Yarrowia lipolytica: one gene and its partners. The protein of the gene in region 1 purifies or fractionates together with the protein of each later gene. This does not show direct contact. Links are inferred from orthologs where the notes say so. Each region holds a gene or a part of one and is shown in the gene's direction. Other genes may lie near its edges. The genes, in order: YALI1_E08545g, YALI1_F03855g and YALI1_C01720g.

What was found.
Region 2: the proteins of YALI1_E08545g (region 1) and YALI1_F03855g purify together in Saccharomyces cerevisiae (affinity purification with mass spectrometry, with the first as the bait; 3 studies listed by BioGRID). This does not show direct contact. The link is inferred for Yarrowia lipolytica from reciprocal best matches to the Saccharomyces cerevisiae genes RPN9 and RPT2.
Region 3: the proteins of YALI1_E08545g (region 1) and YALI1_C01720g purify together in Saccharomyces cerevisiae (affinity purification with mass spectrometry; 5 studies listed by BioGRID, with this or other methods). This does not show direct contact. The link is inferred for Yarrowia lipolytica from reciprocal best matches to the Saccharomyces cerevisiae genes RPN9 and NAS6.

What each region holds. Positions count from the first base shown.
Region 1 is NC_090774.1:851,200-857,974, forward strand, and holds YALI1_E08545g (uncharacterized protein), read left to right. Parts: upstream 1-3,283; coding exon 3,284-4,549; downstream 4,550-6,775. Other genes in the region: YALI1_E08512g (uncharacterized protein), read right to left, coding at 50-180; YALI1_E08530g (uncharacterized protein), read right to left, coding at 977-1,855; YALI1_E08575g (uncharacterized protein), read right to left, coding at 4,730-6,331. UniProt on the Saccharomyces cerevisiae protein: Acts as a regulatory subunit of the 26S proteasome which is involved in the ATP-dependent degradation of ubiquitinated proteins.
Region 2 is NC_090775.1:381,637-388,772, forward strand, and holds YALI1_F03855g (uncharacterized protein), read left to right. Parts: upstream 1-3,873; coding exon 3,874-3,876; intron 3,877-4,019; coding exon 4,020-5,327; downstream 5,328-7,136. Other genes in the region: YALI1_F03803g (uncharacterized protein), read left to right, coding at 1-320; YALI1_F03830g (uncharacterized protein), read left to right, coding at 1,434-1,901; YALI1_F03842g (uncharacterized protein), read left to right, coding at 2,623-2,806, 2,867-3,315; YALI1_F03883g (uncharacterized protein), read right to left, coding at 5,679-6,683. UniProt on the Saccharomyces cerevisiae protein: The 26S proteasome is involved in the ATP-dependent degradation of ubiquitinated proteins. The regulatory (or ATPase) complex confers ATP dependency and substrate specificity to the 26S complex. Has ATPase activity.
Region 3 is NC_090772.1:169,524-175,995, reverse strand, and holds YALI1_C01720g (uncharacterized protein), read left to right. Parts: upstream 1-3,940; coding exon 3,941-4,627; downstream 4,628-6,472. Other genes in the region: YALI1_C01789g (uncharacterized protein), read left to right, coding at 1-651; YALI1_C01694g (uncharacterized protein), read left to right, coding at 6,462-6,472. UniProt on the Saccharomyces cerevisiae protein: Acts as a chaperone during the assembly of the 26S proteasome, specifically of the 19S regulatory complex (RC) and appears to have an overlapping role with RPN14.

The sequences.
Region 1 (6,775 bases):
GAAGTAGAGCATTTAGTTCCCTTTATTGCATCCCTTCATCTTTTTGAACCCCCTCAAGACCACCACATTGCCAACTTTGAGAAGTGGATTCGGAGGCCATTGGTCCGAGAAGTGGACGACGACCACGGCTTCCATACCTGACAGTTGACGAGACCCAAAGTCGGTCAAGGTGAAGAGCATACCATCACCGACGACAAATATACGCGCAATAATGAGGTCTGTGAAGGATGTTCCCACACTAGGGAAACATCTTCACCGGAGTCCAATCTGGAGGTGACATGGTGATAAGAACGAGTAGCTTGGAACGCGTCTAGAAGCGTTCCGATGAGGATGATTACTGATAAACACGTGGGGAGGTACCGTGATATTTGGGGCCGAGAATAGAAACCAAAATCCTTCAATGAAACCCGAATACTCGATAACTCAGAGTGCAATCAATGGCGACTGTCGCGTGGTTGAGAGTGAAGTGCATGGGAGCTGTGGGCTCTATGCAGTAAGAATTTCCACATCCAGGTTCGATAAGGAGGCGTGAGAAAGGAATATATTTGGGTGTTTTGTGACAGGAGACGATGGTTAAAGAAGTGAGACTATAGTTCGCAACCATATAAATCGATGGTGACGATTTGATGTCTACCAATCTGCGTTTGATTCGGCGTTATGTCATCTCGAATTTACTCGACCTTAGTTGAGTTGACGAAGTATTGTTAGCAGTTATTGTTAAGACTTCACGCGATTCACAACACGACATTCTGTTGTGGACAGCAACGTCTTAATATACAGCAGTGTATGAAAAACTCTCCTATTACAACATACAGTACATACTATGCCTCTTTCTACGAATCTCAATGCTTCCGTTGCTCGCTCTATGAGCAGTACTGTACTCAATATGTTAATCTATCTGGTTGTGACGCCATTACATCACTGTGTTCGTTTGCTCGTCTATTGAACGAGCTGTGCGTTTTGTGAGCCCATATTTCTAATTTCTTAGGAGGCAATTCGTGCCGGGCTTCTCGTACCATCCGCCTTCAATCAGGTCAGTCTCTAGAGAGGCCCAGTAGTCTCGCTTCTCAGAAACAGACTTGAGATCAGCATCGACAATCTTTCCATTAACAGAGTCGCCCTGAACGTGCACAAATAGTGACACGTCTCGCATGGTCATAGCTGTGACAAACTGAGGAGGCACCTGGACGTAATTTGCGTAACCCAGAATACCCAACTCGTCTCCATGCTGCATGTGTCTGATCTCGGCGAACAGCTCTGAATTCGAGAAGAACTTGGCAAGAGGCTCGAACTGCTTTTGTGTGCCGGGGAACACGTCCTCTAGAGCTTGCAGCGATGTCTGTTCGTCTTCGTTGAAAAGCTTGAGAGGGCAGATTCGAGGCTTCTCTCGCTTGAGCTGTAACGCGCAGGTTCGGCAGTTGATGCTGTCCTTGGGTGCTGTTGGGCTCTGAAGCAGCCACTTGGGCTTCAATTCGACCGTATATGACTCCCAGTTGTCGCTGTAGTTGATTTTGACTGCGTGGGACTTGAGCACGTTGGTTTCATTTGGTTTAGGCCCCAGGTTCTCCATGAGCAGACCCAGGGGCTCTCCGAGATCGAGATTCTCGGCCTCGGGAAGCGACTCGAGGAACCCCAGAGGCAGATTCACAACTGTATAGTGAAACAGAAAGGGGCCAATGGCCGGTCGGATTGTTCCAGTTAGATACTCGTCCACCTCGGCTGTGGAAGGGGCGTTTCGGTTTCGTCGCAGTCGCAGAAGCAGATCGGTCTCATCGCTCTTGTAAACCACGTTGGCGTTACCTGCCGTTAACAGGGTCCATTTGTAGGGAGGCAGCGGTGTCGGTAGCGAAGACATGATGGTAGTTGAATCATGAGAGTGGATTTCCGAACGCTATAGAGTTGTATATGAGGGATCTGGTTAAGGTTGATAGAGAAGAGCCAGAAGTTTAACACGTGTTGGGGGAGAGAAGGGGTGACGAAAAAAGGGGTGGGGAAGGGAGGTTTTGGTGGCGTGAAAAATGGAATCAATATAAGTCGAGATTTGGAATTAAATTCATATTTTAGAATTGTTATACGAATCCCATAACCCCCCACTACCGTGACCCCTCTAGTACAGTATTATTCACAGTTGACGTGTACATGCACAAGTACAATCAAGTACTCCATGCATTGTCAAAACTATAAATAAATGTATAATGAAAAACATGTTCGAGTTTGAAAGCAGTCGGGTGCAACGATGACTAATTTGTGTTGTTTGGGGCAGTTCTAGTAGCAGAAGTGCCTGTAATCTGTTTCGCTTCACCCACAAGTATCTATGATTGCCCCCTTACTCTGTTTTTGGCCCCTATTTGCCACTCTTCAGACCTTTGACAAACTCACATGTACAATGATGTCAACCTAACGACGTCTGGGCTTTACATCTGATACATTTCATTTGAATAATGAGAGTTTTAAAAGTTTTAGACAATCAGTGAAAAAATAAACGAGTAAAACTTTCGGGAGAAACGCCTCTGGATGATTTTGGAACCCATCTGGCGAGCTTTTAACAGCGTGGAAATACGGTCGGATCGTCTCACGTGATACACGATAGAGATGCATGGAAGTGTCCGCGTACTACAGTTCAAGTTATGGCTATAGTGCAAGCTTAGGATGACAAGAACTCCAGAAATGGGCTGAACTCAATAGAAGCATAAAACCGTTTCGAGGACTGGCCTGCGTTTGATTGTATCAGAACAAGCCGCAGATTATTCCAGGGATGAGAAGAAGAGGTATCAGAAGAGCTACAAGACAAGGACAGCTCGAGTAGAATCAGGTGATCAGGGGCTTTCTGCTAGTACCCTAAATAATGTACTTCTTCTCATGAGGGGATGTTGGTAAGTAAATGATATTGCTTGAGGATAACTGATACCGAATGAGTACAGCAGTCTAGTAGTGAAGGAGTTATGGAACTCTTCTATATTTTTTACAATAGCTGTACACAAGTACTATTTACTTGTACTTGTAATTACAGTGATCTAGATCACAAAACGGCACCCTCCTTTAAATGTGATGTTTGCGGGAATTGAACCTAAGATGTTATAACATTCGGTTAAGTAATTAATTAACTTAAGGTCAACGAGTCATCGGCCATTACTTTAGGAATTATTTCCTCTCCAACACCATGATTTGATATCAGTCCGAAGTTTTGAAAAGATTTTATGGCATTACAACACCCTCTTTTATAATCCACATACTTTTTTTTACAATTACTAGTCATAATTGCCACAATAATCAGGCTCCTCTAATGGCCACCTATCTACTACTAAACCTTAATCCTTGCCAACCTTACCCACCAACATCACCATTGCCACCCACACTGCACAATCAATCACACGACATCACAATTGCGACAATGGAAATAGACAACGACGTGCCCACTATCCTGGCTACTCTCCGAATGGAGGCCGATCCCGAGCTGGCCGCAACTTTCTACTCGTTGGAAGATCTGTGGGAGCGAAAGCTGTGGCACCAGCTGACAGATGCGCTGGCCGAGCTGTACGCAGACCCCCGATCCAAGCCTCTGCGACTGCGAATCTTCACGCAATTCATCCAGGTTTTTGAGCGCAACTTGAACCAGCTGAAACTGGTCATTTTCGGAGTGCTGGCAGCTGCCCAGTGCAATAACGACGAGGAGACCTTGGGCTTCCTCACCAGCCTCGCAGATAAGGTCAGCCACAAGCCCGACACCCAGGATGCGTACGTGTACGCCCAGATTGAGATTGCACGAGTCAAGCTGCGTCTCAAGGACATGGATGGCGCTCGAGAGGTGCTCAACTCCGTCACCGGCACCATCGACTCTCTGAACTCTGTCGATCCCATCATTACCGCCGCCTACTACGGCGTCAACGCCGACTACTATCTTTCCAAGGGCGACTTCAACACCTACTACCGTAACGCTCTATTGTACCTGGCGTGCATCGATCTGTCTACTTTGTCGGTGGAGGCCGTCCAGAAGCGAGCCCATGAACTGTCTGTGGCAGCCCTGTTGGGAGAGAAGATTCACAACTTTGGAGAGCTGTTGCTGCATCCCGTACTGGACAGTCTGAAGAACACAGAGTACGCTTGGTTGCGAGACCTGCTGTTCGCACTGAACCAGGGCGACATCTCCGAGTTTGAGAAGCTCACATCGCAGCATGTTTCCAAGCTGCCTCCTCTCGAGGCCGCCATGCCTCTGCTGCGACAAAAGATCTGTCTGACAGCACTGACAGAGGCTGCCTTTAAGCGACCCACCAACGACCGAACTCTGACCTTTGCCGCAGTGGCAAAGGAGACTCAGCTGCCCGCAGACGAGATTGAGCATCTGGTCATGAAGGCGCTGTCGTTGGAGCTCATCAAGGGCCACATTGACCAGGTTGCTCAGACCATCACTATCACATGGCTGCAGCCCCGAGTGCTCAACAAGCAGCAGATTGCCGACATGAAGCAGAGACTCGACCAGTGGGACGCCAACGTCAAGCAGTTGGGTGGATGGATTCACGACCGAGGTGAGGGTGTTTGGCTGGAGGCTTAGGCACAGGTGACTTATAGCATGTATGAATAGATGTATGATCATGACACGTGTAATCAGCGGAGTATCTGCCTGGTGGGCTCTACTATCTCTAGCAGCTACAATGTAGTATCTCCTGCGTGTGGCGGTCACTCTATAATACCAATATAATGATTCGATCAATAATAAATATACATAAATAATCTACTCGACGGACTTGTCGCTCTGAGCGGGGTCCGTCTGGTTCATCTTTGTTAGCTGAGGAACTCCCTCAACCTCCATACCCTCGAGCTCCAAGTTGCTCTGAGGTCCTTCAAACCACTTGTGGGCCCATCCAAAGTAGTAGATGAGCGAGCCAGCCCACACGGCCACGTTAATGACACAGGTGTAGTTCATGTTGTCCTTGTTGGGGTTGGGTCCCTCCAGAGGGAACATCAGCAGACAGATGGCAAAACACAGGTAAAGCACAGCAAAAGTCGAAACACACTTGGAGATCACACGACCAAGGTAGAAGGGTCCAGGCACGAAGTTCTTGTAACCCCAGATGAGTCTGCAGGCGATAGGAGTCATCCATGCCAGGTCGTTAGAAGCAGCAGCCAGAGAGAAGAGGGCAGCAGCAGCGGCTGCGTCGATCATACAGAGACATCCAATGACCAGCCCGAGTGTGCAGTTGCCCCAGACGGCTCGCACGGGGATTGAGACCTTGTGGTTGACGACCTTGAAGAAGTTGGAGAAAGGAAGGGCTCCGTCTCGAGCAAAGGCCCACGACTGTCGCGAGGCTGCCACAACGATAGACAGCCCCATGGTCCACTGGAGCACGAAGATGATGACCATGAGAGCGAGGGTCCACTTCTTTCCGAGACAGTCGTAAATTAGCTGTGCCATCGGCTGCTGGAAGGGGGTAGAGAGGATTCGTTCAGTGTCGGGAGCCATCACGCAAGCCAGAACGATGTTGATGACGAATCCGAGAACCCAGCACATTCCAATCGAAGAGATGATACCGAAGGGCACGGCTTTGGTTGCGTTGGAGGCCTCCTCGGCCATGTGGACACACGAGTCGAACGAACCAATAGTCCAGATCGGGGCTAGCCAGCCCAGGAAGAAAGTCCATCCAGTAGGCCAGGTGGTGAGGTTTTCGAGCTTGCCGAAAATGTAGGCTCCGTCATGTAGGTTGTGTCGTGCACCAATAGGCAGAGCAATGATGGCAATGATAATGATGGCAATGTTAAGAACAATGCAGCCAGTCTGGAGTTTGGACATTCCATCAGACGCAAGAGACGCAACGATAGCGTGAGAAATGATGCAGGCAGCAAACACGCCGTAAACCGTGTACTTTGTTGCGACGTATTCTCCATCCGTAGCTACTCCTGCCACAGCTAGTACCAGCTGGGCGAATCCGTAGTCGATACTGACAATACCAGCTGTCAGACCGAGAGTGTTGGAGTAACCGACCAGAAAACACAAGGGACGCTTGAGCTTTGGGGTAGCAAAGTGGTAGGTCCACCAGTAGAGTCCTCCAGATGTGGGCAATGAGGAGCCAAGTTCGGCCATAGACAGCCCGACCATCATGATGCAAAAAGAAGCCACAAACCAGCCCCACACCATCCCTGCTGGTCCTGAGGGCATGGAATAGACCAGAGCCGAGGAAATGGAGGGAAACAAACCCATGATACTGAAAGCGATGCCAAAAACTTGGATCATAGAGTAGTTTCGTTTGAGCTCGGGCTTGTAACCCATCGTGGCCAGCACGTTGGCGTCTCCACTGGGAGGGTTTTGTCCATATCCTTCTTCGATTTTGTCGTCCATTAGAATGATGCTAGGAGTCTATGAGACCGGCGGACGCCCCAGGGCATATATAAACCGATCCGGGGGCGTTTCCAATTGCCCGGGACTGTTTAACTTCGGTCGATATCGGCTACTGGTCGGGTATGATAGCGTTTGTTCTTTGTATCTCCAGAACCTACACACCCTGGTTAGCAACTGTATGTGACCCGAGGGGAATGTGGGGTATGCGTGTGACGTGTTTCGTGAAGTACAATACCATTGTGATGATTTGTTGTTTCCTTGTTTGTATATGTGGTGGTAGGCCCTGTTAGTTATGTTGACAATATCGTCTTTTTCCCACTTGTCATAAAGTCGATCTATGGTGCATACTTTTTTTCATATCTTGTTTGCCAAGGCTTGGCGACTGACTTTCAGACTGTTATCATATCAGGCGAACTCAGACGCAGTAGACTTCGTGGGGTAATA
Region 2 (7,136 bases), on another chromosome or scaffold:
CCCTCCGAGAGAAGATGGAGTGTGTTGAGGACAAGCGATTCTCCGAGGAGTACCACGCCCCCGACAAGCGATACATCGGTAACGCCATCGAGATCACTCTCAAGGACGGCACCGTGCTCGACGAGATCGAGGTCAACTACCCCATTGGCCACCGACAGCGACGAGAGGAGGGTACCCCCGTTCTCCTTGAGAAGTTTGCTCGACATCTCCGTGGACGATTCCCTGAGGGACAGGTTGAGAAGATTCTCGCTGCCTCTAACCAGGATATTGTCAACATGGACATTGACGAGTACGTTGACCTTTACGTCAAGAAGGACTAATTTAGTCATGTGTTGAATTAGTTAATGATTATGAGTTGTTATTTAATGAGGTGCGAGACACTGTCGAGCATCAAGTGTACGAGATACAGGAACGTAGTCGGGATGTCTTTGTATTATACATGTGCTGTAGTCACATCCTTATGTATAGAACACAAGTAGGAGTAATAGATATACACTATGAAGACACAATTCTCCCAGAATTGAAGTGCCCTTCCACATGTGAGTACGTCTCGCAACATGATCATTCCTTGCTGATGATTCAGCTCAGCCCTACACTTCAAACTGTAACAGAGTCCAACAAAAACCAACTATACTCCTAATAAATTGCACTCAAGGCTGGAGCAGTGATTTGAGAGAAACTGAGACTTAACACTATAGCCTGTTTTTGATACAGCATATTTCCTTTCTACAGGGCTCAGGATATCCCCTGATGTTTCTCTCATCTCCCTGACATGTCTTTAGAGCACTGAACTAAGATCCCCAGGTGAAGATTTTCCCCCTTATAAACAAACTCCTAACTAAAGTACAAGCAGTAGCTAAACAGTACAGTAAGTCGAAAATATGAAATTTGACGATCACAAGGAATCCAGCCATAGTAACCACCATGGCAATAATTATGTGCAAACACGAGTGAATTGCCATTGATATACCGTAGTTAGGATCACATATAGCCCCGCTCAGTTCAACATGTGCAAAGTAAACGCATGGAGTGGTATCTCTAGCTCATTCATGAGCATCTGGTTATTGTAAACTGCTGGCTTCGTTGCTGGCAACTGTATCGATAAACTCCTCCAGGCCAATCACAAAGTCATGGGAATTATCCCATCAGAAGAAAAGGGTCAGCGACTAGCTGTGGCTTTCTCCGAGGCTATCAAGTCCGGACAACTGGTTTTTGAGACGGTTTCCGACGTTCGATCTGAAGAGGGTTCAAGACTCGGCTTCAAAAGCATCAAATACGTGCTCCATACCGCCTCTCCTTCACCTTTCAATGTCGAGGACCCCGTCAAGGATCTACTGAGCCTTCCGTCAACAGAACTCTGACTGTTCTCAAGGTCGTCATCGTCAAGCAATACCTACGCTCCCCACGTGGAAATCACCTCATCGTTCGCAGCCATGCTCAACAAGAACGAGGCTAACGATTATTCCTCCTTGGTAACCGAGGAGTCGTGGATTCCCGTGGCATGGGGAGAAGCTTCTCATAAGGACAACGCTTTTGTATCCTACATGGGCTCCAAGAAGTATGCAGGGAAGGTGGCCTGGGGATTCATAAAGTCTGAGAAGCCCTCGTTTGGCCTTACCACCGTCAACCCCGGCTACGTGTTTGGTAGTGGTATTGCTCTAGACGCGAAGTCTCCCAACTCCACCACTAATGGGACCATCATTCAGGGTCACTTGTCTACCACACCCGGGCAAGATACGTCCGAGGGTCAGAGCTCATGTGTCTGCCATCCCCAGAACCTCGACAACCAGCGACTTATGCCGTGTGTCTCCAAGTTGTGCAACCAGGATTTGCGGGATACAGTAAACAAAGAGGTTCCCGATCTCAAGGGCAAGACAATGAGTAAACCCGAAAGGTGCTAGACAATGATTGGGTTAGTTTAGACAAGACTGTGAAGGATTTTGTCGAGGATTTTGTCGAGCAGTGGCTGTTGTTTCAGGTCTGAGTGGTCCCGAAGCTTTGAGAGTAGAGCTCGAAGAACCAGACCCATCGCCGCATACAAGTATGAGCAGAAGCACAGAACATTCACAGTAGTAGCTGAGTTTTAGTGAAGTAATCATATGGAAATGGGGCTTGTAATATATCAAGTATGTCGTTAATAGCAACTTTCTGCAATAATCTAAGCAAGTAGTACTTGAGTATTCAAGAGATCAACTACTGTGCGTGCGACTGGTAGTTGGAGAGGCTTTTATTCCAGTGCTTAATTTAGATCAGTTTTATTTCACTGTATTTCACTCCCTCAACCCACGTCGTATCTGTCATATAAAGTTTTCGACAGTCCGTTACAGTAATTGCGATGGAGAGACTCTTCTGAGCAACCATCTTTTGGCACAGCAACAGGAGCTGTAGTATGTAGCAATAGCCGTGAGATAAGTGCGCCAAATACCTTCAAATGCGCCAGGCAACCTTCCATCTTTATACATACACTACACAGCATTGCTTCAAAGTCTCACCTCACGTGCCCCGCAACACCACCCGCTGCAACCTAACCACTTTTGAGGTTGGGACCTATTATCGCAGGCGCAGCATTATGAGACTCCCTCTCTCCTCCTCATCAACAGGAAAAGAAATACAACAAAGACAATGTCACGAGCCCGACGAGTAGCCAGAGAGATGGAGGATGTGCGGTCCGACTCCGAAGCCGGCATCACCATCCAGGCCATCAACGATGCCGACATCTCCCATCTGAAGGGCACCTTCCACGGGCCTCCCGGCACTCCCTACCAGGGCGGCACTTTTGTGGTCGATATCCAGATCCCCAATGATTGTGAGTAAAGAGAGCCACACAGACAATGTGGCCATGTCTGCCGCTGCCGAACTAACACAGACCCCTTCAAGCCTCCTCGAATGAAGTTTGACACTCGCATTTACCACCCCAACATTTCGTCGCAGACCGGCGCCATCTGTCTCGACATTCTCAAGGACGCATGGTCGCCTGTCTTCACGCTCAAATCGTCGCTTATCTCGCTGCAGTCGCTGCTGCAATCTGCCGAGCCCAACGACCCCCAGGATGCTGAGGTGGCCAAGATCTATCTCACCGACAAGGCCGCTTTTGAGCGTACTGCAGCAGAATGGACAGCCCAGTACGCCGGTGGCAACGCTGGAGGAGATCAAGACGAGATCGCACGCCTTGGCCTGGATCGAGACGCCGTTGAGGGATTCGCCAGCATGGGTTTTGGCAAAGACAAGATCATCGCCGTGTTCAAAAAGCTGCAAATCAAGAAGCCTCAGTCTCAAGAGGACGAGCAGAGAGTGGTCGAGGAGCTTCTGAACTAGGCTGTTAATTTATATGCATAAGTCTTGATATCAGTGGGCGTATGAGTAGCACACAGTACAAGTAGATTTATTTGTAGATGTGGCGTCATGGCGTCATGGTTGCAATGTATTGAAGGGTGTGATTTAGTAATGGGTAAGTAACGACTGTTAGTCACTACAAATTTGCTTCTATTAGTACTGTAGCAGTAACCAGGTCTCATAACCTCAGCGTTAACTTCTATTGGTATAGTAGCTTGCTCGCTTAATGCTTACTCATCTCTACCATGGTGCCTAGAACATTCCATGGGACATTTTGCACAATAATGTATGAATCGACAAAAAAAGGGGTCACGTGGTGGTAGTAGCAAAGGGTGGCAAACACACCTCACCCGAAAAATCGTCTGGATCCGTACTCTGATTACTTGTACGCACGTCTGATCGTGTACTCACTTGCAGTACTTATCACAGTTACCCGGCACTGAATTGTGTGTGCCTAAGGGAACACACAACTCAAAACCACAGTGGCCAAGCCAGAGAGGTTCCAGCACTTACAAACTCATACAACACAACACATTCATCATGGTGAGTATAGCGCGGTTTCTGCGCTTGGAGGGCAATGGATGGTGGCCAAACGGTTGCCACGACACGCCGATTGTCACAAAATCCGGTTTTGATCCAATTCTCGCAAGGTGGCGAATGACCACTACAATCAGTACTAACCCCAGGGTAACCGACCATCACTCCCCGGAGACAAGAAGAAGGACGACAAGAAGAACGAGAAGCCCAAGTATGAGCCTCCCGTGAACACACGATCGCATCGAAAGAAGAAGAAGGGCCCCGAAAACGCCAACAAACTGCCCGGCGTGTACCCCACGACACGATGCAAGCTCAAGCTGCTCAAGATGGAGCGAATCAAGGATCATCTGCTGCTGGAGGAAGAGTTTGTGCAGAATCAGGAGCGTCTCAACCCGCTGGACGACAAGGTTGCCGAGGAGCGATCAAAGGTTGACACTCTGAGAGGTTCTCCCATGGGCGTGGGCACTCTGGAGGAGATCATCGACGACGATCATGCCATTGTCTCGTCCACTTCTGGCCCCGAGTACTACGTTTCGATCATGTCTTTTGTTGATAAGGATCTTCTAGAACCCGGCTGTTCTGTTTTGCTGCACCACAAGACTGTGTCTGTCGTTGGAGTGCTGCAAGACGATGCCGACCCCATGGTCTCGGTAATGAAGTTGGACAAGGCCCCCACAGAGTCGTATGCCGATATTGGAGGTCTGGAGTCGCAGATTCAGGAAATTAAGGAGTCCGTGGAGCTGCCACTCACACATCCAGAGCTCTATGAAGAGATGGGTATCAAACCCCCCAAGGGAGTCATTCTTTACGGCGCTCCCGGAACCGGAAAGACACTGCTGGCCAAGGCCGTCGCCAACCAGACTTCTGCTACATTTTTGCGAATCGTTGGATCCGAGCTGATCCAAAAGTACTTGGGAGACGGTCCCCGACTGTGTCGACAGATTTTCCAGATTGCCGCAGAACACGCACCGTCCATTGTTTTCATCGATGAGATTGACGCTATTGGAACCAAACGATACGAGTCGACGTCTGGCGGAGAGCGAGAGGTGCAGCGGACCATGCTGGAGCTTCTGAACCAGCTGGATGGATTCGACGACCGAGGAGACGTCAAGGTAATTATGGCTACAAACAAGATTGAGTCGCTGGACCCTGCACTGATTCGACCTGGTCGAATCGACCGAAAGATTCTGTTTGAGAATCCCGACTCCACCACCAAGCGAAAGATTATGGGCATCCACACCTCCAAGATGAACCTCAACGACGATGTTGATCTCGAGGAGTTTGTGTCTTCCAAGGATGAACTTTCTGGAGCCGACATCAAGGCCATGTGCACCGAGGCAGGTCTGCTTGCTCTGCGAGAGAGACGAATGCGGGTCACTGCTGAGGATTTCCGAACCGCTAAAGAGCGGGTCATGAAGAACAAGGTGGAGGAGAACCTTGAGGGTCTCTACCTGTAAGCATAGAAGCATTAACGTATGACTATAATAAATACATCAATGAGGTGGAGGTTGACGGGGACTTCTTCGTATACATACTAACATCTAACATCTACAGTAGATCGAATAACTTGCAACGGTACATGCCGTCATAGAAAGACGTTTGGTAGAAAATGCCTAATAGAGACAACACACATTCCAATACACAGACAGTTACAACCAGCAGCCACATTGTTATATAAATGTTTACCAAGTGAGCCTAACCAGTGGGTGTAAGTCATACATCATCATTCATTATTTAGTCATGATCCATGAAATGTTTATGCAATACGTTTCACAGTTCATTGGGTCAGCTTAAAACTTGTATTTGTTTTATTGATCCTGATCCTGGAGGAACTTGTAGATAACAGACATGTCCTTGCCCTGGTAGTTGTCTCCCTTCTCAATGTTTTGATAGACCTCGTAAGTCTTGTCAGCCACAAGCATGGAGGATCCAGACTGCTTGGCCACATCGATGGCCAGACCCAGGTCCTTTCGCATCAGGTTGATACCAAAGCCTCCAACGTAGTCTCGAGAAGAAGGAGTAGCGGGGTTGACACCTGGGACGGGGTTGTTCACCTCGGAGGACCAAGATCGACCGGAAGAGGAGTTGACAATGTCTGAGAAGAGCTTGAGGTCGCATCCAAGCTTCTCAGCAAGATGGAAAGCCTCAGCAGTGGCAACGTTAGTCACAGCCAACAGGTAGTTGTTGGCAAGCTTGGCAGCCAGACCCTGGCCCTGGGTGCCGCAGTTGACGATTCGGCCACCCATGAGCTTGAGCAGCTCCTCCACCTGCTTGTACACCTGCTGCTTGTCCTTGTTGCACCCGACCATGAAGGTGAGGGTGCCCTTCTCGGCTCCCACGACACCTCCGGAGACGGGGGCGTCCACAAAGGCAGCAGAGGCGTCCTTGTCGGTCACAAGCTTACCGCACTCAATTGACGTCTGAGTGTCAATGGTGGAGCAGTCGACAAAGATCTTGGAGGTCTTGTCTCCGAGGTTGTTGACCAGGTCGGTGTAGACTCCTCGGACATGGACGGGCTCAGGGAGCATTGTGAAGATGACATCGGACTTGCTGGCCACGTCCACGGCAGAGCCCAGCACCTCCAGCTGGGCGCCCTTGGGATCCTTGTCCTTGGCAATCTGTTCTAGAGCAGCCTTGTTCATGTCGAACACGTTGACCTTGGAGTCAGCGTCGACACCGGGCAGCTTCTTCTGCAAATTGAGGGCCATGGGCAGACCCATTCGACCCAGACCAATGAAGCCGTAGGACAGGTCCCGGGAGGCCCGCAGCGGTCGCAGGGCCTTGACGGAGCTTCTGAGAGTGGATGAGAGCATGCTGTGTATGTGTTAGGGTGGGTTTTGGTGTGTTGGAAAGGAGTGCCAGAAAAGAGATCGGTCTAGCTTTATCCTCTGGCCTGCGGCTCACCCCAGATTTGAACTTTGGGTTTGTCGGGCTAGTCTCGGGGCGCGTGTGGGGGAGATGCATCAATAACCGCATAATAGTGGTCCCACTGCAGGTGTTTGGAGGTGGAGCTGAAACTTTTATTTCCTAATATCGTATTCAAGCTGTCTCCAAAGGAGCATTCATCCTCGCAACTCCTCGGACTAGCTCCAAAAGGCATTTTTAGCCGCGTCTGCGTACAGGTAAGGGATCCCCCCCACATTATCCACCCAGCATTAGTCTTGCGTTATGTACACTCAACAGAGTTCGTCGATTGCCGCCGAAGCGGACATCTTCGTTGGGTGAGGGACCAGGCTTGTGGTATATTAATTGGAGAGGAGGGCCGA
Region 3 (6,472 bases), on another chromosome or scaffold:
GCCGACTCGGACAAGTACGGCCGAGGAGCTCGAGAGCGAAAGGAAGTGTACTACGACGACGGCCTCACAGAGGAGCAGTGGCTCAACATTGTGGACAATGACGAGGATCTGGACGCTGCCATCAAGAAGCGACGCCGAAGCCGACGGTCCCGAGCCCCCACTGATCTGGATGACGGTCTGGACGCCGATGATATCATCGTTGACGATGCCGATGGAGACGACCAGTTTGTCGACGAAGAGGCGTCTCCTCCTCCCAAGAAGAAGAACAAGAACAAGATCCCCAAGGTCCGGGAAACCTTGTCTGTGGCTGACCGGGAGGAGCTCAACGAGTCATGCCAGCTGGCTCTCAACGAGTGTTTTGCGCTGACGGAGCCCTGGGATCCTGAAGATGAGTCTGCGGGCCTGCGGCATGTGTGTGACCTGTTCCGGTCCATTCCCTCCAAAAAGCTGTATCCCGACTACTTCAAGCTCATCAAGAATCCGATTGCGCTTGACGTGATCCAGAAGAAGGTGAAGCAGAATGTGTACCAGAACCGGTACGATTTTGTGGCTGATTTCGAGCTCATGAACCAGAATGCTCGAACCTACAACGAGGAGAACTCTCCGGTTGTTACGGATGCCGACCGTCTTTTGGACATTGCCCGGGGTTAGAAGATATATAATGGGCAAAAAGGTCCCACTAAGCTGTATAATATGATGTGTTTGTTTATTACACAGCTGGAGCGAAGCTGTCTATCCGTACGTCTACTTGTAGTAATATCGCCTTTACCTTCTACTCAACGAAACCAAGCACTCGCAGTGTATCTATCGAAATTCGTCTCATTGTATGTTCTTGCCAAGGGCGCTCAGAAAAAGCGCCTCACAGCTAGTCTAGACAATTAGAGATTAGAACACACCCTTTTTTGCAAGTTTTACTACAGTACTTGTTTTGTCATGTGACATAATCTATGGAATATTCTTTTCAATCTTTTCTATTTCTCTCGCACTCAGGTCAGAATATTGTTGAGAGAGTCTTGTTAAAGGTGATACCCCGGACCAACCTGGTCAATTTCTCACATAGACATGAGAGGAACCAGCTTGGTCGTAGACAATGATGTCCATCCTGTAAGCAGTGTATCTGCCGATCTAGAATCTCTTTCTGGTGAATGAGCAAGCACACACTCTTCTGGTGTGTGCTACTATCGGAACGTAGGGTCCTGAAATGAGTTGTAAGCCGTTAACTATATATATCAATCATACTTTATAATTGATGTTCTGAGAATATTGCTGAAAAAAGAGGCATAAATGGACATGACACAATTTGGTTAACCGATACACACAGAAGTGTTGTTTCAATATTAATGTTTCAAGATACTCGAGTTTCTGCTTAGAAATGAGTGGATTCACAGTTAGGGACGTTGTTGGAGTTTACTTGGAATTTGGAACATTTATGCTGTGTGCGACATAAAAAAACATGTCAATCTAATATCTGGACAGAAAACTTAGCATATTCTAACAGCTATCGTACTGGTACACACTTGTACTTGTGCGTATTCCATTGGCACACGCATTTTACTCCAATGAACCTCAATTAGCTCGTCAGAGCTGGATCTATCGTGCCCTCTCATATCCGCCAAAGGATATGTGCTCGTTCTTGCAGTCTCGAGACTGATATATGTGGTTTTTTTTAGCAGACATATATGGTGTTTCAGTTTCTGCCGCTAATATGTGCCATCGCCGTACAAAGTACTTTTATTGCAAAAGTACAATTCCGATCCATTTTCATATAGCTCACATTGTGTACAAATGCAACACCAGACTTGTCTGTTTCATGTCCTGTCTCGTCCTTGTTGGAGATGTACTGTACCTGACCCTAGTCACGAGAAGCGCGCGATACGATAACTCCAGATGAGATACACTCGTCTAGACACGTCCAATACTGAGGTACGCGTCGGAAATAATACAGTACATTCTTGACAGGATTTGGTGACATGAAACAATGGGTCTGAAATGGGAGTACTTGGCGAAGGCAACTTGGAGTGACAGAATCGAGGCCCAAATACAGCGTCTTGTAGCTCCCAAAAAAGACCTTTCTGGACCTGGAACCGAGAATGCACACTTTTATTATGTCTGCGGGAGGAGACACATTTTTGGCAAGAGTAGACTACAGTAGCTGCGCATGTGCCCCGGCGTCTTGGGTCGAAAACAAATGTGCTCTGAAGCACATAGACAATGGATCTGTACGGGCTATGCGTATATCGGAATTTTTATTATATCGGGAATAGTGCAGTTTTGCCATTTTGCCAAGCCAGCCAGTTGGAGCGCGCAGATGTCAAAAAAGAGGCGTGCTGGGGTTGGCAACCCGCTAAAAAGGCATGGGGCGAGGTCATTCAGGGGTCGACGGTCTAGAGTCGAGGTTCCCGTGTCAAAATCGGACTAATATCTGACCCTTTGAGAGGTGTTCATTTAGGTCCCCCTTGTTGCATTTCATATCCTAACCTCGCTGCACAGCACCCGAAAAAGCACACAGCAGCAGCGTTGGGCCTTTGTCGGTGCCGGTACATACTTGTACGTCGTGTCTCTTGGCTCGTGGTCTACAGTGCCAGTATTATTTGAGAGTTTTGGTACAGTACCGTACGTATTGTCGCTGTATTTTATTATTTGCGGTGGTCAACAGAGCCCGAGTCGAGGTGAGGGGTTGCTGCCTGGCCGTGTATTTTCGACACTAATTACTGTACCGCCATCACTAGCTTGTTCGTCGACACGGCTTTTCCACTCACTTTAATTTAAGCCGTATTTTAAGCCATGTCTTAGATCCAGACGAAAAAACGGTCTACCGGACTTGGTACAGACCTTAAACCAGCCCGTCAAAATACCGGTCGAAATACAGTACATTTACAAAACAATATAGGCTAAAGGCCAATATAAAAAAGCGTGTTGTAGTTGGACACGCGTATTGCACGCCCACGTCCAATTGCTCGATATACCACGTACCAGTGCGTACATTGTGTACAGCGGACTGTGCATACACCAGGCGCTGCCGGAGGTTCGGTTTAATTACGTGCTTGTGCTCGGATGCAGGGGAACCAACGGCAGTCACCGTTCTTAGTTTACCGGCATGCCGAAAAAGGCACGGTTTGCGAGCAGACAAACGGGCTGCTCACGACGGCAGAAAATTAATAATCGGCCATTGTTGCGCACTGCTGGCGACGTCCGCCACGTAATATGACGGCATTGCATTACATGGAGGGGCTGGATAAGAAAAATATTGCAAGGCTGATTGGCGATAGATAGCCGAGCACGGTGTATGTTGGGTTGAGTGGGTGGGAGGAGAGCCTTTGGAGCACACTTGTGAGACAGGACAAGGACAAGTGTAGCGGCGTATGCAATTACCCGTGTATCTGGTAATTAATGATGCATTTAGTGTGGGGGTCGAGGCCATAGCAGGTTGGCGACTGGGCAGGCATGGTAATAATCAACAAACGAGAGCCAATGGGCGCTCGTGAAGCTGTCGAATGTCGTTATTCTCTACTGTTAAAGTAACGGTTGGGACAAATACTTGAACTTAGTGGGCTCAATCAAACCCCCTGGTTGACAGCCTTAATTCAACCCCAAATTTACCACCTTGCTGTTGAACTACGGGCTCTAAAGACCATGCTCAAGGTGGAGGGTCGGCGGTCCAAAAGCCCAATTTTCCTTTCCCCACACGAAGCGATGGATCGCAGCAATATTTTCCACCGTCTTCCCCACTCTGCCCCACAGTAGAGCCTCATGATTTCATTTCCTTTGAACCAGACCAAGAAAGAGGTTAAACCACCTCGATCAGGTCACGTGATCATGCATACGGAAATCTGGGGACGCCTCGAACCTTAAGCAATCGTACCATGATCGAAACCTGCATCACCACCACGAACAAGTCCTTCCTTGTACACACAAGCATTTAACACAACAAAAACACACAATGGAAACCAAAGAATACCCTCTCCAGGTGGCTGCGCGGGACGGCGACTTGGCCACAGTGAAGGAGATTCTGTCACGTGACCCCAAGCAGGTGAACCTGGTGGATTCGGACGGCCGAAGCGCTCTGCTGTGGGCGGTGTCCATGGGCCACAAGAATATTGTGGAGTGGATTCTGGACAACCAAAAGCCTGCTGACATTGACCAGACCGACGCTAGTGGCTGGACCGTTGTTCACATTGCCTCCTCCACCGGAAACATTGACATGCTGCAGCTTGTTCTGCCTCTGGATCCCGATGTCAACGAGAAGGCCAATGGAGGACAGACTCCTTTGCATCTTGCTGTGGGCAAGAACCGAATCGATGCCGTGCGACTGTTGCTAGATCATGGAGCCAAGCCCTCAGTTCGAACAAAGGACGGCCAGGGCCAGATTCCGCTCGTTCGAGCTGCTGCCAACGGCTCCATGGTCATGGTCAAGACTCTGCTTGAGAACGGGTCGCCTCTGTCCACCACCGACATCAACGGCTGGACCGCTCTGCATCACGCCATGGCCGAGGGCCAGGGTGACGTTGCTGTCTATCTCATCCAGCAGGGTGCTTCCGCGGAGGCTGTGGACAGCGACAACAAGACCCCCTTTGATGTTGCTGTCGACACCAAGGTTCTGGAATACGTCAAGTCTCAGCTCGCCTAGATGGTCTTATCATGGGATCGGCGACCGATTGCTATTTGTACAGCACAATTGTACGGTCGAAGAGCGCAATTGGGTAGCGAAACTGTCAAGAGCTCACTTGACAAACATGATAGGATGGCTTTGTCTTGGCATGGATCGGACCCGCTATTACTTCTATTTCATAGTCAACCAAATGCATACACTGTTGGGCGGACATTGGTGAATTGCCATGCTATGCTGTGGGGTTCTGCCTTTGCTCCATCATATCAGCTACCTGTAGCGCAAAGAGCCAGTCTAGCCGTACGTGCTGTAACCTTCGCACTTTCCGAGCCCACGGAGTTTTGTACGAAAGAAGACAAGGATCGTAGGAAGGGTAGAGAGTGGATAAAGCGCGTATAAAAGTAGATAGAGAGTTTCGTTAACGCGGTAAAAGGGATGCACGTAGATGAGGTAGGACCAAGCAGCATACGTGTACAAGTAAGTGCTTTACCGGGAATGTGTGTTTTACCGAGTACAGGTATGCACATTGTGTAGTGCTTGGTAACGGTTGAGGTTTTTAAGTGTAGACGAAGAGGTTTAAATAACTGTCCAAGTGATTTGTCAAACAACACAGTTAGACAATCATGCCGCATTCATGAGACGAACTGTCTCAGTTCAGTAATCCAGTCTCGTCGCAACCCATCCCTACCGGACCATACAGTACACACTTTGAAGCACAATGTGGGGTCGTACAAGGGTATTGTCACGTACAGTACAGTACTGTACAGCAACGTTAGTCCCTTGCCAAAAAACAAGTGAGAATATTTTCATTTTTTTGACCCTGCCATATCAGTGCGAGTACCAAGCCTTCTGCCTCATGGACTCTTATTCTGAATCAAAATCAAGGTTGAAACGGCCCAATACGGATGGCTGAGCCTATTTATTCTGGGTGCTGTGAGGGCAAGTATACCATACAAGTATGTACAATACATGTAGTATTAAGACTAATAGTCATATTGACATGCCTCGGGTGGATATTTTCAATTGTCGTGTGGTGAATAATATCTCGTAAATGTATCCTCAAGTGTAGTGCATATTCAGTAGATTGATTCAGTAGATTGATTTCAGCATGTACAAGGGTTCTACCAACCCGTTAGTGACCGCTTAAACACCGTTTTCTCGCTCTCTCTCCAGGTCTCGCGTACCAGTACCCACGCCGAGGGTCACATGACTCAGAATACAATCCTAGTGCCACAGCCGCGCGCTCGGCGATATTGACTGCTTGTGGCGACCGGTGTCTTGGAAAAAGCAAGAAATGCACCAACAGGCACATGCAGTAAGAGAAAAAAAACACAGTATCTGGTACAGTAGGTTTTAGCAGCAGCAACCACCAAGCTCCAAGCACGAAAAGCAGGTTGTTCAGGGGCCCCACAGGACAATATAAACAATGCGAGGATAATATTTCGCGAATCGGGGAGACGCATTGTCTCCATGTAGGCGGATCGGGTGTCACTTGCTCTCGCTCTTCCTTCTTGGCCAGTAATTGGTGCGCTATGTCCACACTGTTAGTCAGATAATTTTTCCCAAGCCGGCTATTTTTCGTGCACAATTTTTCAACATATATAATAAACGGATCGCCCACGGATGAAACCCGAAATGAAGACGGCATCGCGACCATCACTACGAGATAAAGGGTGTGAAACACGGGCCATTTGTCAACGTGTGTAAGCGCAAAAAAAGCAAAACCAGACAGCACTTGGACAAGTACACTACAGTACACACAATCGGTTTGCAAAAAGAAACGAGTATAAACGGCAGTCAAGGGATACATGAAAAAACCCACACCTTGCACACACGCAGTACAAAAGTAAAAGAAATGTGCATGGA